2 linked regions of the Stegostoma tigrinum genome follow. The protein of the gene in region 1 interacts with the protein of each later gene in a pairwise test. Links are inferred from orthologs where the notes say so. Each region holds a gene or a part of one and is shown on either strand. Other genes may lie near its edges. The genes, in order: vps33b and vipas39.

Region 1 (7,473 bases):
TAAAATACTCCAAATGCTAGAGATCTGAGATAAGCATAGATAAACTGGAGAACCTCAGCAGGTCTGGCAGCATTGGTGAAGACAGAAATGGTTAACATTTCAGCTCAATGTCATTTCATCTTACTCCTACTCACCATTCCAGCACAGCATTCTAAAAATGTTCCTTTCACAAGGTTCAGTCAGGGCATTTGGAAAGGAATTAAATGGTTCTCTGAAACACAAGGTTGGGCACAATGATGGGCAAGTGGTAGGGGAATGGCATGAAGCGAGCTGTTCATTCGGAGAGCCAGTGCAGACACGATGGGCCAAATGACCCCCCTTTCAATCTGTAACAATTTTGTGATACATCATTATGAAAGACGCTGACCATGCTACACTCCCTCAGTCTCACCTTAGACTATGTATTCCAGTCCTAGGTGAAGTGTGAAAATTCAGAGCTGAGTATGTTAGTACATGGCTCATTGGGGCCAAAACAACAATTGAACTGTGATGTGTGGAACAACTGAGATTTATCTTTCTGTTTCTCACCTTTTGTCAAGGCCGCACTTCTGCACGACACTGTTGAAGATACGGACACTACGTTTACAGAGATTGCAGAGAGGTTTGGAGAGAAGGTGAGGAGTATTGTTGCTGAAGTGACAGACGATAAGTCTCTATCAAAGGAGAAACGGAAGGAGTTACAGATCCAACATGCCCCTCACTGCAGCTACGAAGCTAAACTAGTGAAACTGGCAGATAAACTGTACAACCTGAGGGATCTCAAACGCTGCACTCCAGCAGGTCAGCAATGCAGTCCTTTTTGTTTTTCTCCTACCAGGTTCCCAGCGCATGTATAATTGTTATTGTGTTCCCTGAGTCCTAGCAATTATTCTTTCATCATCTCTACAGGAAAGCACAGCCTGAGTTCCCAGTCCCTCCCTGCATGTTGGGTAAACCCCACTTCAGCATACAAACTAGACTGGCAATGCAGTGCAGAAGTGGAGGAATGCTGCACTGTCAGAGCTGTGAGCCTTAGGAAAGAGCCCTGCCTACCTATTATGGTGGCTCAGATATGGTAATTAGCTAAATCTATGAGGAGCCGTTGCCATTATGCTCTCATTGAGAGAGAAAAATGGTTTTATAGCATCAAGGCATGGGCTTAGGTCTCCATGAACTACCGCAGTTTCCAAGGAATTCAAGCTGTGCAGTTGGCACCATTCTGCACCACACTCTGAGTCATAGAGTTATAGACGTTTACAGCACGGAAACAGGCCATTTAGCCCAACTCATTCATGGTTTCTAACTAACAGAGCTAACCAAACCCCACAGTGGCTAAAGTAAATGTTGAATGATATTATTTGAAGAACCAAGATTAGCCCCAGGGTCTGGGCCGAGGAATAGAATGGGAAAGAACAGAGGGTTCGGGTACCTGTGGAGGGAATGGACTTGACTTTTGCTCTGCTGAATCCCTTTTCAGGATGGACAGAGAAACGCGTTGAACAATATTTCATCTGGGCTTCCCAAGTGGTTGCTGGACTTCGAGGAACGAATCAGATCCTTGAAAAGAGCCTGGATGCACTTTTCAAAGAAAGAAATATTCTTACTGGATAATGAGGTTTTGTTTGAAATTGATTACATTTTAAGATAGAAGATCGTGCAGTACTTTACCATTAGGTCTATCATTGTGGAATGAAGTTTTAAATGACAAGATAATAATCTCTAAATTTAAATATTCAAGAATGTCCTTGATGATCAGATTGAATGAATATATCAATGCTGCTCATTTACCTTGTGCTGTGAATCCCTCCCTGTTTTATTGTCTTTAAAATAAAACATTTTTGTTCTGTGGGTTACTATTCTTCTATCATCACATCTTTATTTTGATGCTAAATGATTGATTTTTGACACATTTTAAAATGTACCTTGTAATTTTCATCCATAAAGATCTTGATAGCAGGTACATTTTATATGGGAGGGTGTTTCTCAATTCTTTTCATCCAACACGTGCAAACCCAACTCCATGTTTGAGTCTTCACCCTGAACTATTAAGGAATCCACACAAAAAGAATTTCAGTTTGCCAGAGGTGACAACACATTAATTCAGTATGGAAACTGTACTTTGTATAAATTCAGAGAACTTAGGCACCCGTTTATAGATCCAAGGAGGTCCTCAACCAACACACAAGTACCTCAGGAGGTTAGAAAGGCCCAGCCAACTGATACAGAGGGCTGGTAAGCCTCCTGAAAACTGCTCCAACCAGACCTTCCCTACATATTATAGCATTGGCTTGCACAGTTCTGTGCAGGTAAGCTGCCATTGATTGGTTCACCAGGTTGAATTAACAACAAGTCTAATTAGTTGCTAATGTTCTGGAATGTCTGCCTGGCTCCCACAGAATCTCCAAATGCTTACGTATCTTCCTTAGCAAGGATATCTTCTCCTTACAGCATGGCAGCATGATGGCTTAGTGGTTAGCACTCCAGCCTCACAGCACCCAGGGACCCAGGTTCGATTCTGCCCTCAGCAACTGTCTATGTGGGTTTCCTCCCACAGTTCAAAGATGCACAGATTAGGTGGGTTAGCTATGGGAAATGCAGGGTTATGTGGATAGGGTAGGGGGTGATCAGGCTCAGTGTGGACTCTGGGCCAAATACTCTGCTTCCACACTGTAGGAATTTTATAATTCTAAGGATAGTGCTTAAATTAAGGACTGTTTGTTCAAGAAGTCCATTATTTTCATTGACTCAGGCACCCGTGGTTCACGGTAGCAGTTTGCAATTTGAGACAGTTTTCCTGTACTTCACCTCCATATGTTACTGTACAGCATCAGGGCCATTTTATGATAAGATCGGACCATTCCTCATTTAGTACATCCACATCGATAGCTGCAAGGATGGTGGAAGTGCAGTGAGGATCTTGCAACTGCTCCTGGGTTTGCAGGCTTAATTAAAATTTATTATAGTTTTGGTACAGGTGTTATATTTCACGATAAAATACATTTGGACAAGTCCGTGAATAGGAAAGATTTGGGGGTATATAAGCCTGGAGCAGACAGGTGGGACCAGCGTAGTTTGGTGATTATGTTTGGCATGGGCTGGTTGGACTAAAGGGTCTGTTTCCATACTGTATGACTCTGTGACTCTAAGAGTGGGAGTGGGCAACCTGAGGCAGCTGGCAGGAGCAAGAACAGGAACAGGCTGCAAGGTGGCAAGAGCTGGCAGTGCAGGTCAAGGTCGAGCCCTTGAGTACAAGCCCAGCATGGCCATGTACTTACAGACTGAGGTGTTGAACTGCAAACTGTGTTTCTTTGTTTTTCCACGTTTTAGTAAGAAGGATTGTAATGTTTATCTTTTTTTACTTTGTTTTTCTGCTTTGTAGCTAATTGTTTTTGTACTTAAGATAGTACCATTATGTTGACACTTGTAAACCTCATTGTGCTCATGTGAGTACGTGACAATAAATCTTTTTCAATTCAAGGCTAGCCCATACCACGACTATCATCTCTTTAAGGGATGTAATTGAAAAAGAAGATTCTCCAGCATCGGCAGTTCCTACTATCTCATTTAAAAAGAATGTTTTTTTCTCATGCAGACATGTCAAACCTTTTCCGCAATTAACTGGTGTTTTTTAGAAATGTGTAACACCCAGTAGTGTAAAACTTCATGGAGAGGATAAACTGATGAAGCATAACCTGCTAGGTTGGAATCAGGACACATCGGCGAGTCTCCTTAACTTGGTCGTAATGAAGAGTTACCAACATTGGGGAAATGTTAGGGATTGGGATGGAAAGATTGATGTAGAGTGAATGGAGTTGTGGTTTGTGTTCAGCTGTGAGTTTGATCTCCCCAGTTGGCTTACTGTGTAAACCCAGCAAAGTGGTGACCAGTTATAGAGATAATGGGAACTGCAGATGCTGGAGAATGGTCATGGTAAGGAGTGCTACAAAAAACATAACACTTCGTGTATTGCTCACTGTTATCAGAAAGTATCTGAGTGCAGGCTCCAGCTGAGCTGAGGTTTGGGCTCCAGTTTAAGCAGAAGCAGAACAATTGCCCCCCAGTTCCCCGGCTCTGGCTGTAAACAGTGACTCCATGTGAGGCCTACTGTTCCCGGGGAAGACTGCGCGCCGGTTGCTAGGAGACGCGGCGCCGGAAGCGCCAAACATGACCCCGGAAGCGGCTCCTTGGGATAAGATGGCGGGCCGCTGGGATGCTCCAGAGCTGCCGGATTTCGACGTCTTGAAAAGAATCGCCAGGGATCAACTCATTTACTTACTGGAGCAGGTGGGAGAAAGGCTGACATCTTCCGGGGAGGGGAGGGCGTGACATGCCGGGGTGGGTGATAAGTGACACGGCTAGAGGGGAAAGGAGGGTGTGACCCCCCCGGCCGTTTGGGAGGGAGACAGGGAGACGGTGACGCCGGTAGTGTAGTGTAGTGAGAGGCGGTTTATAGCCCATACGGTAATGTTTAGCGTGTGGGGGTGGGGGGAAGAAGCGATGGAGTGACCCCTGGTGGGATGAGTTGACCGATGGATAAGAAAAACGGACGGGTTGACCCTTGGGGGAGGGGTTATTGAGTGAATGTGATCTATATGGACTTCAGTAAGGCGTTTGATAAGGTTCCTCATGGTAAGCTGGCTAGCAAGGTTAGATCGCATGGACAACAGAGAGAACTGTCCACCGACTCCCACAGCTACCTAGAATACACCTCCTCCCACCCACCCTCCTGCAAAAATTCCATCCCCTATTCCCAATTCCTCCGCCTCCGCCTCATCTGCTCCCACGACAAGACATTCCACTCCCGCACATCCCAGATGTCCAAGTTCTTTAAGGACCGCAACTTTCCCCCCACAGTGATCGAGAACGCCCTTGACCGCGTCTCCCGTATTTCCCGCAACAAATCCCTCACACCCCGCCCCCGCCACAACCGCCCCAAGAGGATCCCCCTCGTTCTCACACACCACCCCACCAACCTCCGGATACAACGCATCATCCTCCGACACTTCCGCCATCTACAATCCGACCCCACCACCCAAGACATTTTTCCATCCCCACCCCTGTCTGCTTTCCGGAGAGACCACTCTCTCCGTGACTCCCTTGTTCGCTCCACACTGCCCTCCAACCCCACCACACCCGGCACCTTCCCCTGCAACCGCAGGAAATGCTACACTTGCTCCCTCCCTCCCTCACCCCTATCCCAGGCCCCAAGATGACATTCCACATTAAGCAGAGGTTCACCTGCACATCTGCCAATGTGGTATACTGCATCCACTGTACCCGGTGTGGCTTCCTCTACATTGGGGAAACCAAGCGGAGGCTTGGGGACCGCTTTGCAGAACACCTCCACTCAGTTCGCAACAAACAACTGCACCTCCCAGTCGCAAACCATTTCCACTCCCCCTCCCATTCTTTAGATGACATGTCCATCATGGGCCTCCTGCAGTGCCACAATGATGCCACCCGAAGGTTGCAGGAACAGCAACTCATATTCTGTCTGGGAACCCTGCAGCCTAATGGTATCAATGTGGACTTCACCAGTTTCAAAATCTCCCCTTCTCCCACCGCATCCCTAAACCAGCCCAGTTCGTTCCCCTCCCCCCACTGCACCTCACAACCAGCCCAGCTCTTCCCCTCCACCCACTGCATCCCAAAACCAGTCCAACCTGTCTCCGCCTCCCTAACCTGTTCTTCCTCTCACCCATCCCTTTCTCCCACCCCAAGCCGCACCCTCATCTACCTACTAACCTCATCCCACCTCCTTGACCTGTCTGTCTTCCCTGGACTGACCTATCCCCTCCCTACCTCTCCACCTATCTTCTTTTCTCTCCATCTTCGGTCCGCCTCCCCCTCTCTCCCTATTTATTCCAGAACCCTCACCCCATCCCCCTCTCTGATGAAGGGTCTAGGCCCGAAACGTCAGCTTTTGTGCTCCTGAGATGCTGCTTGGCCTGCTGTGTTCATCCAGCCTCACATTTTATTATCTTAGAGAGAACTAGCTGTTTGGATACAGAACTGGTTCAACAGTAAAAGACAGGGGGTCGTGGTGGACGGTTGCTTTTCAGACTGGAGGCCTGTGCCCAGGGATGTGCCACAAGGATTGGTGCTGGGTCCACTGCTTATCATCACTTATATAAATGATTTGGCTGTGAACATAGAAGGTATGTTTGTAACTTTGCAGATTATGCTAAAATTGATAGGGAAGAAAGTTACCTCCGAGTACAATGGGATCTTAATCAGATGGATCAATGAGTCAAGGAGTGGCAGATGGAGTTTAATTTAGATAAATCCTGAGGTGTTGCATTTTGGAAAGGCAAATCAGGTCAGGACTTATACACTTAATGGTAACGTCCTGGGGAGTGTTGCTGAATAAAGAGACGTAGGAGTGGAGGTTCATAGTTTCTTGAAAGTGGAGTTGTAAGTAGATAGTGAAGAAGGTATTTGGTATGCTTGCCTTTGTTGGTCAGTACGTTGAGTATAGGAGTTGGGAGGTCATGTTGCGGCTGCACAGGAGATTGGTTCAGCCACTTTTGGCAAATTGTGTGCAATTCTGGTCTCCCTCATATGGGAAGGACGTTGTGAAACTTGAAAGGACTTAGAAAAGATTTACAAGGATGTTGCCTGGTTTGGAGAGTTCGAGCTATAGGGAGAGGCTGAATAGGCTGGGGCTATTTTCCCTACAGCGTTAGAGACTGAGGGGTGACCTTACAGATGTTGATAAAACCATGAGGGGCTTGGCCAGGGTAAATAGGCAAGGTCTTTCCTGCAGGGTTGGGGAGTCCAAAACTAGAGGGCATAAGTTTAAGGTGAGAGGGGAAACATATAAACGGGACCTAAGGGACAACTTTTTCATGCAGAGGGTGGTGTGTATACAGAATGAGCTGTGAGAAGTGGTGGAATCTGGTACAATTATAACTTTTTAAAAGCATCCGGATGGTATATGAATAGGAAGGGTTTGGAGGGATTATGGGCCAAATGCTGATAAATGGGACTAAATTTAAATAGGATTTCTGGTCGGCTGGGACGAGCTGGCCCAAAGGGTCTGTTTCAATGCTGTGTATCTCTATGACTGTATGAATGATAAGAGGGACAGGCGAAAGTGATGGGCCGAGTGTTCATTTCCATATTGACTCTTGGAAGGACCAATGGAGTTGACTCTGTTATGATTGGAGCATTTTTCAATACACAGAAGTGGTATTTTAAGAAAATAAAAACACAGAGCTGTGACAGTTCCTCATTTCCATTCCTTCTCCTGTTTAATGGAATTTCTGTGTTGTTAGTTACCAGGAAAGAAGGATTTGTTTATTGAAGCTGATTTGATGAGCCCTCTGGACCGCATTGCAAATGTCTCCATCCTGAAGGTCAGTTAATACTTGCTTTAAAACTGTCCCCAACCTATCCTGCTAATTCAGCACCAATATATCCTTTGTCCAAGGCCATGGTGGGCATATTCCTCTCCCCGCCCTGAAACTCTGAACACAGAGGATCACATTCAGA
Region 2 (8,285 bases), on another chromosome or scaffold:
CAGCTACTCAGCCTTTCCCTAGAGCTCAAACCCTCCAAGCCTGGCAACATCCTCATAAATCTTTTCTGAACCCTTTCAAGTTTCACAACATCCTTCCTATAGAAGGGAGACCGGAATTGCACACAATACTCCTAAAGTGGCCAAACCAATGTCCTATACAGCCACATGACCTCCCAACTCCTAGATTCAATGCACTGACCGATAAAGACAATTATGCCAAACGCGTTCTGCACTGTGCTATCTACCTGCAACTCCACTTTCAAAGAACTATGAACCTGCACTCAAAGGTCTCTTTGCACAGCAACACTCCCTATGACCTTACCATTAAGCGTATAAGTCCTGCCCTGATTTGCCTTTCCAAAATGCACCACCACCTGTTTATCTAAATTACTCCTCTGCCCATTAGCCCATCTGATCAAGGTCCCATGGTATTCTAAGATAACCTTCTTCGCTGACTGCTACACCTCCAATTTTGGTGTTATCTGCAAGCTTACTATACCATACCTTCTACGTTCCCATCCAAATCATTGCTATAAATGACAAAAAGCAGTGAACCCAGTACTGATCCTTGTGGCACACCACTAAACGCAGGCCTCCAGTCTGAAAAGTAACCTTCCACCACCACCCTCTGTCTTTACCTTTGAAACAGTTATATATCCAAATAGCTAGTTCTCCCTGTATTCCGTGTGATCTAACCTTGCTAACCAGTCTACCATGAGGAATCTTATCAAATGCCTTATTGAAGTCAATATGGGTCACAACCACTGCTCTGCCCTTGTCAATCCTCTTCATTACTTCTTCAAAAAACTGAATAAAGTTAGTGAAACATAATTTTCGATGCATAAAACCCATGTAGACTACCCCCAATCCGTCCTTGCCTTTCAAACACATGTAAAACCTCAGGAATCTGTCCAACAACTTGCCTACCAGTAATGTCAGGCTCACTGGTCTATAGTGCCCTGGCTTCTCCTTATCATCTCTGGCACAATGTGAGCTAAACTTCAGTATTCTAGCACCTCACCTGTGGCTATCGATGATACAAATATCTCAGCATATGACATCTACCCAGAGCAATGTGGTTGACTCTGAAATGACATAGCAAGTCATTCAGTTCAAGGGCAATTGGGGAGAGACAACACATGCTGGCAATGCTACAGATGCCCACACCCCATGAAACAATAAAATATAAAACAATTTTTTTTTCTTTAACGGGATGCAGGCATCACTGACCAGGCAGCATTTATTGCCCATCCTTAATTGTCCAGAGGACAGTTAAGAGCCAACCGTACTGCTGTGTGGATCTGGAGTCGCGTGTAGGCCAGACCAGGTTAGGATGGCAGTTTCTTTCCCTAAAGGACATTAGTGAACCAGATGGATTTTTCCGACAATCAGCAATGGCTTCATGCTCATCATTAGACTGTTAATTCCAGATATTTTATGGGGTTCAAATTCCATCATCTGCCATGGCAGGATTCGAACCAAGTCCCCAGATCATTATCTGGGTCTCTGGATAATACCATGACATCATCGCCTTCCCAAATATTGCTCCTAACTCATACGTATGTTTACTCAAGAACGGTAAAGTCAGATGTTGCTACTAAGTAAGAAATAGGTGCTCTTAGCAATAGCATGAATACAGGTTTGGAGGTTCATACAAAAATCAAATGTGACAAAAAGGATGTCAGCCAACTAGTTTAATCTCAGTTACCAAGGAAAGGATTGGAGCTGGTAATGAGGAATCTATGATTGGACTAGGGTCAGAAAACAATTGCTTCTGTATTCCCCAGAAAGAAATTTCTGTCCATTCAGCATGGCAGTTTAGCAGTCTGATAATTGAGTGACAGTGGCAGTGTCAAAAGTGATGGTACTGAGGTGGAGCTTGGTATCAACTGTAAATATGAAAACTAATGCTGTGTGTTTGGATGATGTCACTGAGGGGCAATGTGTAGATGAGAAATAGCAGGTGGAGGGAAGGATGTAGTTGAGTAAATGAGTAGGTGCAGAAATGTTGTGGTGAACCGTTCTTTGTTTTTAACCTTCAGGACATGTTGCCCAGTTCTTGAGCCTTGAAGTTCGACCAACGAGGGAAAATTCTTGCTGTCTACTATCTTTATACCTCAATCTTGAATGCTATCAAATCTCACTTCAATCTTCTCTTTCCACAGGGAGGTAAATCTATCCACACACATGTATCCACTCCAGAACCTTCACAATCTTTCTAAAGTTTGGAACCCAGTGACATATTTTCAGATACCTGAGTACCAGCATGATACCTGTTGTGGTCATGTCCAGTGTAACTGTCTGAGACCTCATGGGTTGATTAATTGCCATCATTACTTCTTATTGATGTTACCCCATATTACTGATATCAAGTGACGGAAGGATGCTTCTGCAATGTCTTTGGCAGAAAAGAGGCTTGGTCTGGATGAACAGAGTAGGTTTTTGACATACTTCTTAATAGCAAGTTACAAAGTATCTGAATTACATGACAGTCTCTTAGACCAGACATAAAAATGTATATGTTATGCTAGCTGCATAGATTTAGCACTAGGACAGTAATAACCAAGCTGTGTGGTAATTTTGAAACTGGTTACCTCATCCCAGGAAGTGTCCTGATGGGTGGAGTTTATTTATGGTAAAAACTGAAAGTGAAGAAACTTGGCAGAATCAGCAGCATCTGTGGAGATAAAAACAGAGTCCATTATAAATTTTCTTTAGAGCTTTAGGGGCTGCAAATGTGATGGGTTCTGTGCTTTAGAAAAAGGGAGGAAAGTAGCAAGTAAAACGTAAATGCACCCCAGAGTAAAAGTCAAAGAGCATGCCAATAGTAATGGAGAAAAGATATAGATGGGAGGTAGGTATTAATGGTAGTTGTTAATAGTAGAAAAAAGGTCAGCTGTACTGAAAACAAACCCTTACAGGCAAGATGCTGTGGTAATCAAAACAAAGGACGAAGTTCATGGTCTGATGTTGTCCAGCTCAATGTTGAATCCTGGAGACCGTAAAGTGCCTAAGTGGAAAGACAGCTGGTGTTTATCCAGCTTGTAATCGGCTTCACTGGAACACTGCAGTATGCATAGGCCAAAAATGTTGGTGTGAGAGCAAGATTGCATATTGAAATGGAACCAGAGATCAAGGTCATTCTTGAGTCAAAAGCAAGGGTGTTCTGCAAAATGGTCACATGGTCTGCATTTGGCATTGGCAGTGCAGAGGAGACTGCATTGTGAGCAGCAAGTACGATAGACTAGATTGAATAAAGTGCAAGAAAATTGTTGCTTCAAATGGAATAACTGTTTGGGGCTTTGGACAGTGAAAGAGATGGGGCAAAGAGTTAAATGTTATACCTTCTGTTATTTCATGAATAGGCACCATGGAGCAGTGAAGAGCTGTTAGGAGTGAAGCAGGAATGACCCAGAGTTTCCTGTACAGGCGCACATGGCAGCAATGGAGAATGGTACTTCCAAATGCAGAGACTGGTGGAATGGGAAAATGAGGACAAGGCAGGCCTTTTGCTGCTCTGGGAGGAAGAAGTAGGAGGAAATGGATTGAACACAGCTAAGAGTCAACCGTAGTGGTTATGGAAGGTGGCATCATTGGAACAAATGAGACTGAGTTAGAGAAACGAGGCAAATGGACTAGAAACCAGGTGTGAGGAAGCGTAGTCAAGATGGCTGTGGGAGACAGTGAATAGATAGCCTAACTCACGATATAGAAACAGACAAGTCAAGGAGGGGAGACAAGTATCTGAACAGGACCAGGTGAAGATGAGAGAAATATGGAAATTGGAAGCAAAATTAAATGTTTCCAACTCATAGTATCAATGCAGTAATCAATGAAAGCAATCTGGTTGGAGGCTCCAAGCAGGACTGGAAATTTTTAAATATCAAGGAGGCTGGCATAACTGGGACAATTAACTGTTAGCTGACGATGCCAGGCCTGCTGAGTGAATTATAGAATCCCTACATTGCAGAAAGAGGCCAGTCAGCCCAACTAACCCTCCAAAGTCCATCCCACTCAAACCTTATCAGCATAACTCCCGCTTTTACCATGACTAATCCATGTAGCCTGCACATCCATGGACTCTACAGGGCAAGTTAGCATGGTCAATCCACCTAACCTGTACATCTTTGGACTGTGGGAGGATGCTGGAGAAGCTGGCAGAAACCCATGCAGACCTGGGGAGAAGATGCAAACTCCATACAGACAGTCAACTGAGGCTAGAATCAAACCTGGGTGCCAGGCACTGAGAGGCAACAGCGCTAACCCATGAGCCACTTGCTGTCCACCAAGGAATTTCTGGTTTTGTTTGTTTCAGATCTCCAGCATTTGCAATTGTTTTTATCAACTGTTAGAACCCATATGCGTGCACATAGTCATTAAAGAAAAGAATGTGAGATGAGTTAAAGGAAAAATTGTTCAAAGTGAGAATGAGTTTGTGATGTCAGTTAAACCGGTTAACAGGTATCAGATGCCTAATACAAAAGAATTGGAGTCAATACTCCATTTGAGGCCATGTTTTATAAAGCCTCATTATAAATTTTCGTCTTCTGTTTTCTCCCTCTATTAAAGCCCAGGTTCGTGTGAGCTTTTGTAATCACATTCTCCACTCCATTTTAACAGCGTAAATACTCCTAATTCTCCCTATTCCTCTACTTTTCCAAATAAATTTTCGGCATTAAATGGAAGTGTCTGCCTATTTTAAATGATATGTTTTTGCACAGTGAGGGTTGGGCCAGGGAAGGAGAAATGAAAAACAGAAGCTTTTGGTTTAAAAGAAAAGGTACAGACGCGAAATAAATAAGAAAACTATAGCTTGCTTGGAAATGTCTGTCTAACCAGGAGCTCAGGCACCCTTTAAGTAAAAGTCACCGATCCGACACGGGATCAATTCATCGCTGCACCTATTGTACAACAGCATAATACATCCCTGAAGTGAAACTCTGGCGACGATACTCTCATGGAAAAACCACAATAGAGAGAGAGAGAGAGAAAGAACAAAATCCAAGTTTTGCTGGTGAGGCCTAAACCTGATTTTTCATTTTCTTCTCCTCTTCTCGGATAGTGGTGGCAAACTCCTAACTGCACCGAAATCCCGAACCCTCGCAAGGGCTGACGGGGGTTGTAGTCTGCGGGTCCGATCGGAAACTACAGTTCCGGGCTTCGGTGCGTGCGCACAGCAGTCGAAGACCTACCAGTTTCTGAGGGGTTGATGCCGGGAAGTGAGTGAGTTCAGGGGTGAGTGAAGAGGGGAGGACGTTAATTTACTTTGTGTAAACACTGGTCCAGTAGACAGATTATCAAGGTGAACGTGGCGGTATGAGACAGAAAATGGGCTCTGTATGAGCTGAGATGACGGGAACTGCAGATAACCCAGACCTGAGTCAAGTATGTCAGCCTGAGTGACCAGCTATCAGCCTGTGTCCTGAAATTGCCCTTGTCCGTCCGGAACACGGAAAGGTAGGTAAGCCCCTCCAGAAGGTCATCTTCCAACATTAAACTGGCATTGTTTTAAGAGACCAGGTGTCCCATGCTGACGTTTTATATTTTGCTTAAAGTCAGGTCCCAATGTACTTCCTCCCCCTCTTTAAAAAGTACCAGTTACTATCCAACCGATTTTCAGCTTTCTTCCTCCATGTATGTAGCCGGAACCCCATTCCCCCCCTCCCCTCCCCGACATCGGATTGCAGTCTTGCAGCCTACCTGTCGATATCCTCTCCCAGTTTACTGTCAAGGTAGATTGAGTCAGTTTGTGCCCTTTTCAGGAGGGTGGAAGTTTCATTCCACATGCGTACACTCTGGTCTGCCAGAGGTTGTGACTGGCAGGAAATGTCATGGTTGATTACATTGCTCTTTGTTATGCCTCCACTGCTGCCTTGCCTGCAATGAGCTAACTGGGATAGTTTGTGCATTCCTCTTAAGTCACCAATGAACCCTTGCAGCAAGAACTTTTCAAAGAACGCAGAAACCTCAGTATCAGTTAAGCTTGGGGACCATTCCTGTATTTTATAAACATTATGATTAATTTCCATCCTTGTTTTCAAATTCATGCATGGTCTTGCCTGCCCTATCTCTAATCTCCATTTGTGGTGTTACGGGGCCTCAGTGCTGGATGTGAGTTTGCTCGCTGAGCTGGAGCTCACTGATGTTACCTATAATGGTGACGAAACGTCTGAGCTCACTGATGATGTTACCTAGAATGGTGACAAAACGTCTGAAAACTAACCTTCCAGCTCAGCGAGCAAACTCACATCCAGAACCTCAACCTGAGCTACAAATCTTCTCAAAACTCGCTGGGGCCTCAGTGGTTAGCACCATTGCCAGGGACCAAGGTTTGATTCCACCCCAGGATAACTGTTGGTTTTTTCCCACAGTCCAGAGTTGTGCAGGCTATGTAGATTAGCCGTGGGAAACGCAGGGTCACAGGAATAGGGTAATTTGATTAGATTAGATTACTTACAGTGTGGAAACAGGCCCTTCCGCCCAGCAAGTCCACACTGCCCCTTGAAGCATCCTACCCAGACCTGTCCCCCTGTAACCCACACACCCCTGAACACTACTGGCAATTTAGCATGGCCAATCCACCTAGCCTGCACATCTTTGGACTGTGGGAGGAAACCGGAGCACCCAGAGGAAACCCACACAGACAGTCACCCAGGGCTGGATTCGAGCCCGGGTCCCTGGCGCTGTGAGGCTGCAGTGCTAACCACTGAGCCACCGTGCCACCCAAATGCTTTATGGAGAGTCAGTGTAGAATTGATGGGCTGAATGGCTTGCTTCCACACTGTAGGATTCTATGATTTCCACAGCCCTCCAATTATCTGCACTAAATTAATTTCAGTTCCTTTTGCATTCCCAGTTATAATGTATCCACCGTTTGTGGTTGGACCTGTAGTTGCCTACACCCCAGGCTCCAAAACACTCTTCTGAAAGATGCCACCTGTAGGTTGCAGGAACAGCAACCTTGCTTTCTTTCTTTACAAAAATTCTTAATAGCTAACTCTTTGACAAAGCCTTTGGTCAGCTGATCTATTATCACATTATGTGGCAGGTGTAATACTTGGTTTTATGCAGCTTCTATGAAGTACATTTCGTGGTTTCATTACAGGCACAATGTAAATATAAGTTATTAATTTAATTTTTTCAGTTTTTCTATATTTGCAGATGAGCAGAACTAAAAATGATGAAGAAGATTATTGGAACAGTACAAAATGCAAAGCTTTTGTATTTGATGATGATGATGAATTTACAGAGGTGAGTAAATTGCCTGCATTTAAATTCCTAGGTCCCAAGAACCTTGTCTGCCTTCTGGAGAGACCACTCTCTCCGTGACTCCCTTGTCTGCTCCACACTCCCCTCCAACCCCACCACACCCGGCACCATACCCTGCAACTGCAGGAAGTGCTACACTTGCCCCCACACTACCTCCCTCACCCCCATCCCAGGCCCCAAGATGACCTTCCGTATCAAGCAGATGTTCATCTGCACATCTGCCAATGTGGTATACTGCATCCGTTGTACACGTTGTGGCATCCTCTACATTGGGGAAACGAAGCGGAGACTTGGGGACCGCTTTGCAGAACATCTACACTTGGTTCACAGTAAACATCTGCACCTCCCCGATGCGAACCATTTCAACTCTCCCTCGCATTCGTGAGATGACATGTCCATCCTGGGCCTCCTGCAGTGCCATAATGCCAACCTGTAGGTTGCAGGAACAGCAACTCATATTCCGCTTGGGAACCCTGCAGCCCAATGGTATCAATGTGGATTTCACCAGCTTCAAAATCCACCCCCCCCCCCCCCCCCCCCCAGCATCCCAAACCAGCCCAGCTCGTCCCAGCTTATCTAACCTGTTCTTCCTCTCACCTATCCCCTCCTCCCACCTCAAGCTGCAACTCCATTTCCTACTTACTAACCTCATCCCGCTCCCTTGACCTATCCATCCTCCCAGGACTGACCTATCCCCTCCCTACCTCACCTCTCCTCTCCACCTATCTTCTCCTCTATCCATCTTCAGTCCGCCTCCTCCTCTCTCCCTATTTATTTCAGAATCCTCTCCCCATCCTCCTTTTCTGATGAAGGGTCTAGGCCCGAACGGTCAGCTTTTGTGCTCCTGAGATGCTGCTTGGCCTGCTGTGTTCATCCAGCTCCACACTTTGTTGCACTTTCTGCACTGTCTGTTTCCTGCCAGTGAGCCAATTCTCTATCCATGCCAATATACTACACCGTGATCTCTATTAGTCCAGGCACATATATATGAAGGTAAAATTGTCATAGACCAACCA

What was found.
Region 2: the proteins of vps33b (region 1) and vipas39 interact in binary tests that used the Homo sapiens proteins (3 or more experiments, as listed by UniProt). The link is inferred for Stegostoma tigrinum from reciprocal best matches to the Homo sapiens genes VPS33B and VIPAS39.

What each region holds. Positions count from the first base shown.
Region 1 is NC_081389.1:22,273,549-22,281,021, reverse strand, and holds the start of vps33b (vacuolar protein sorting-associated protein 33B), read left to right. Parts: upstream 1-4,131; 5' UTR 4,132-4,143; coding exon 4,144-4,263; intron 4,264-7,256; coding exon 7,257-7,337; intron 7,338-7,473. Other genes in the region: hddc3 (guanosine-3',5'-bis(diphosphate) 3'-pyrophosphohydrolase MESH1), read left to right, coding at 540-780, 1,457-1,590. UniProt on the Homo sapiens protein: May play a role in vesicle-mediated protein trafficking to lysosomal compartments and in membrane docking/fusion reactions of late endosomes/lysosomes.
Region 2 is NC_081363.1:14,199,514-14,207,798, reverse strand, and holds the start of vipas39 (spermatogenesis-defective protein 39 homolog), read left to right. Parts: upstream 1-4,971; 5' UTR 4,972-5,014; intron 5,015-5,027; exon of another isoform or gene 5,028-5,119; intron 5,120-5,166; exon of another isoform or gene 5,167-5,461; intron 5,462-7,144; exon of another isoform or gene 7,145-7,161; coding exon 7,162-7,251; intron 7,252-8,285.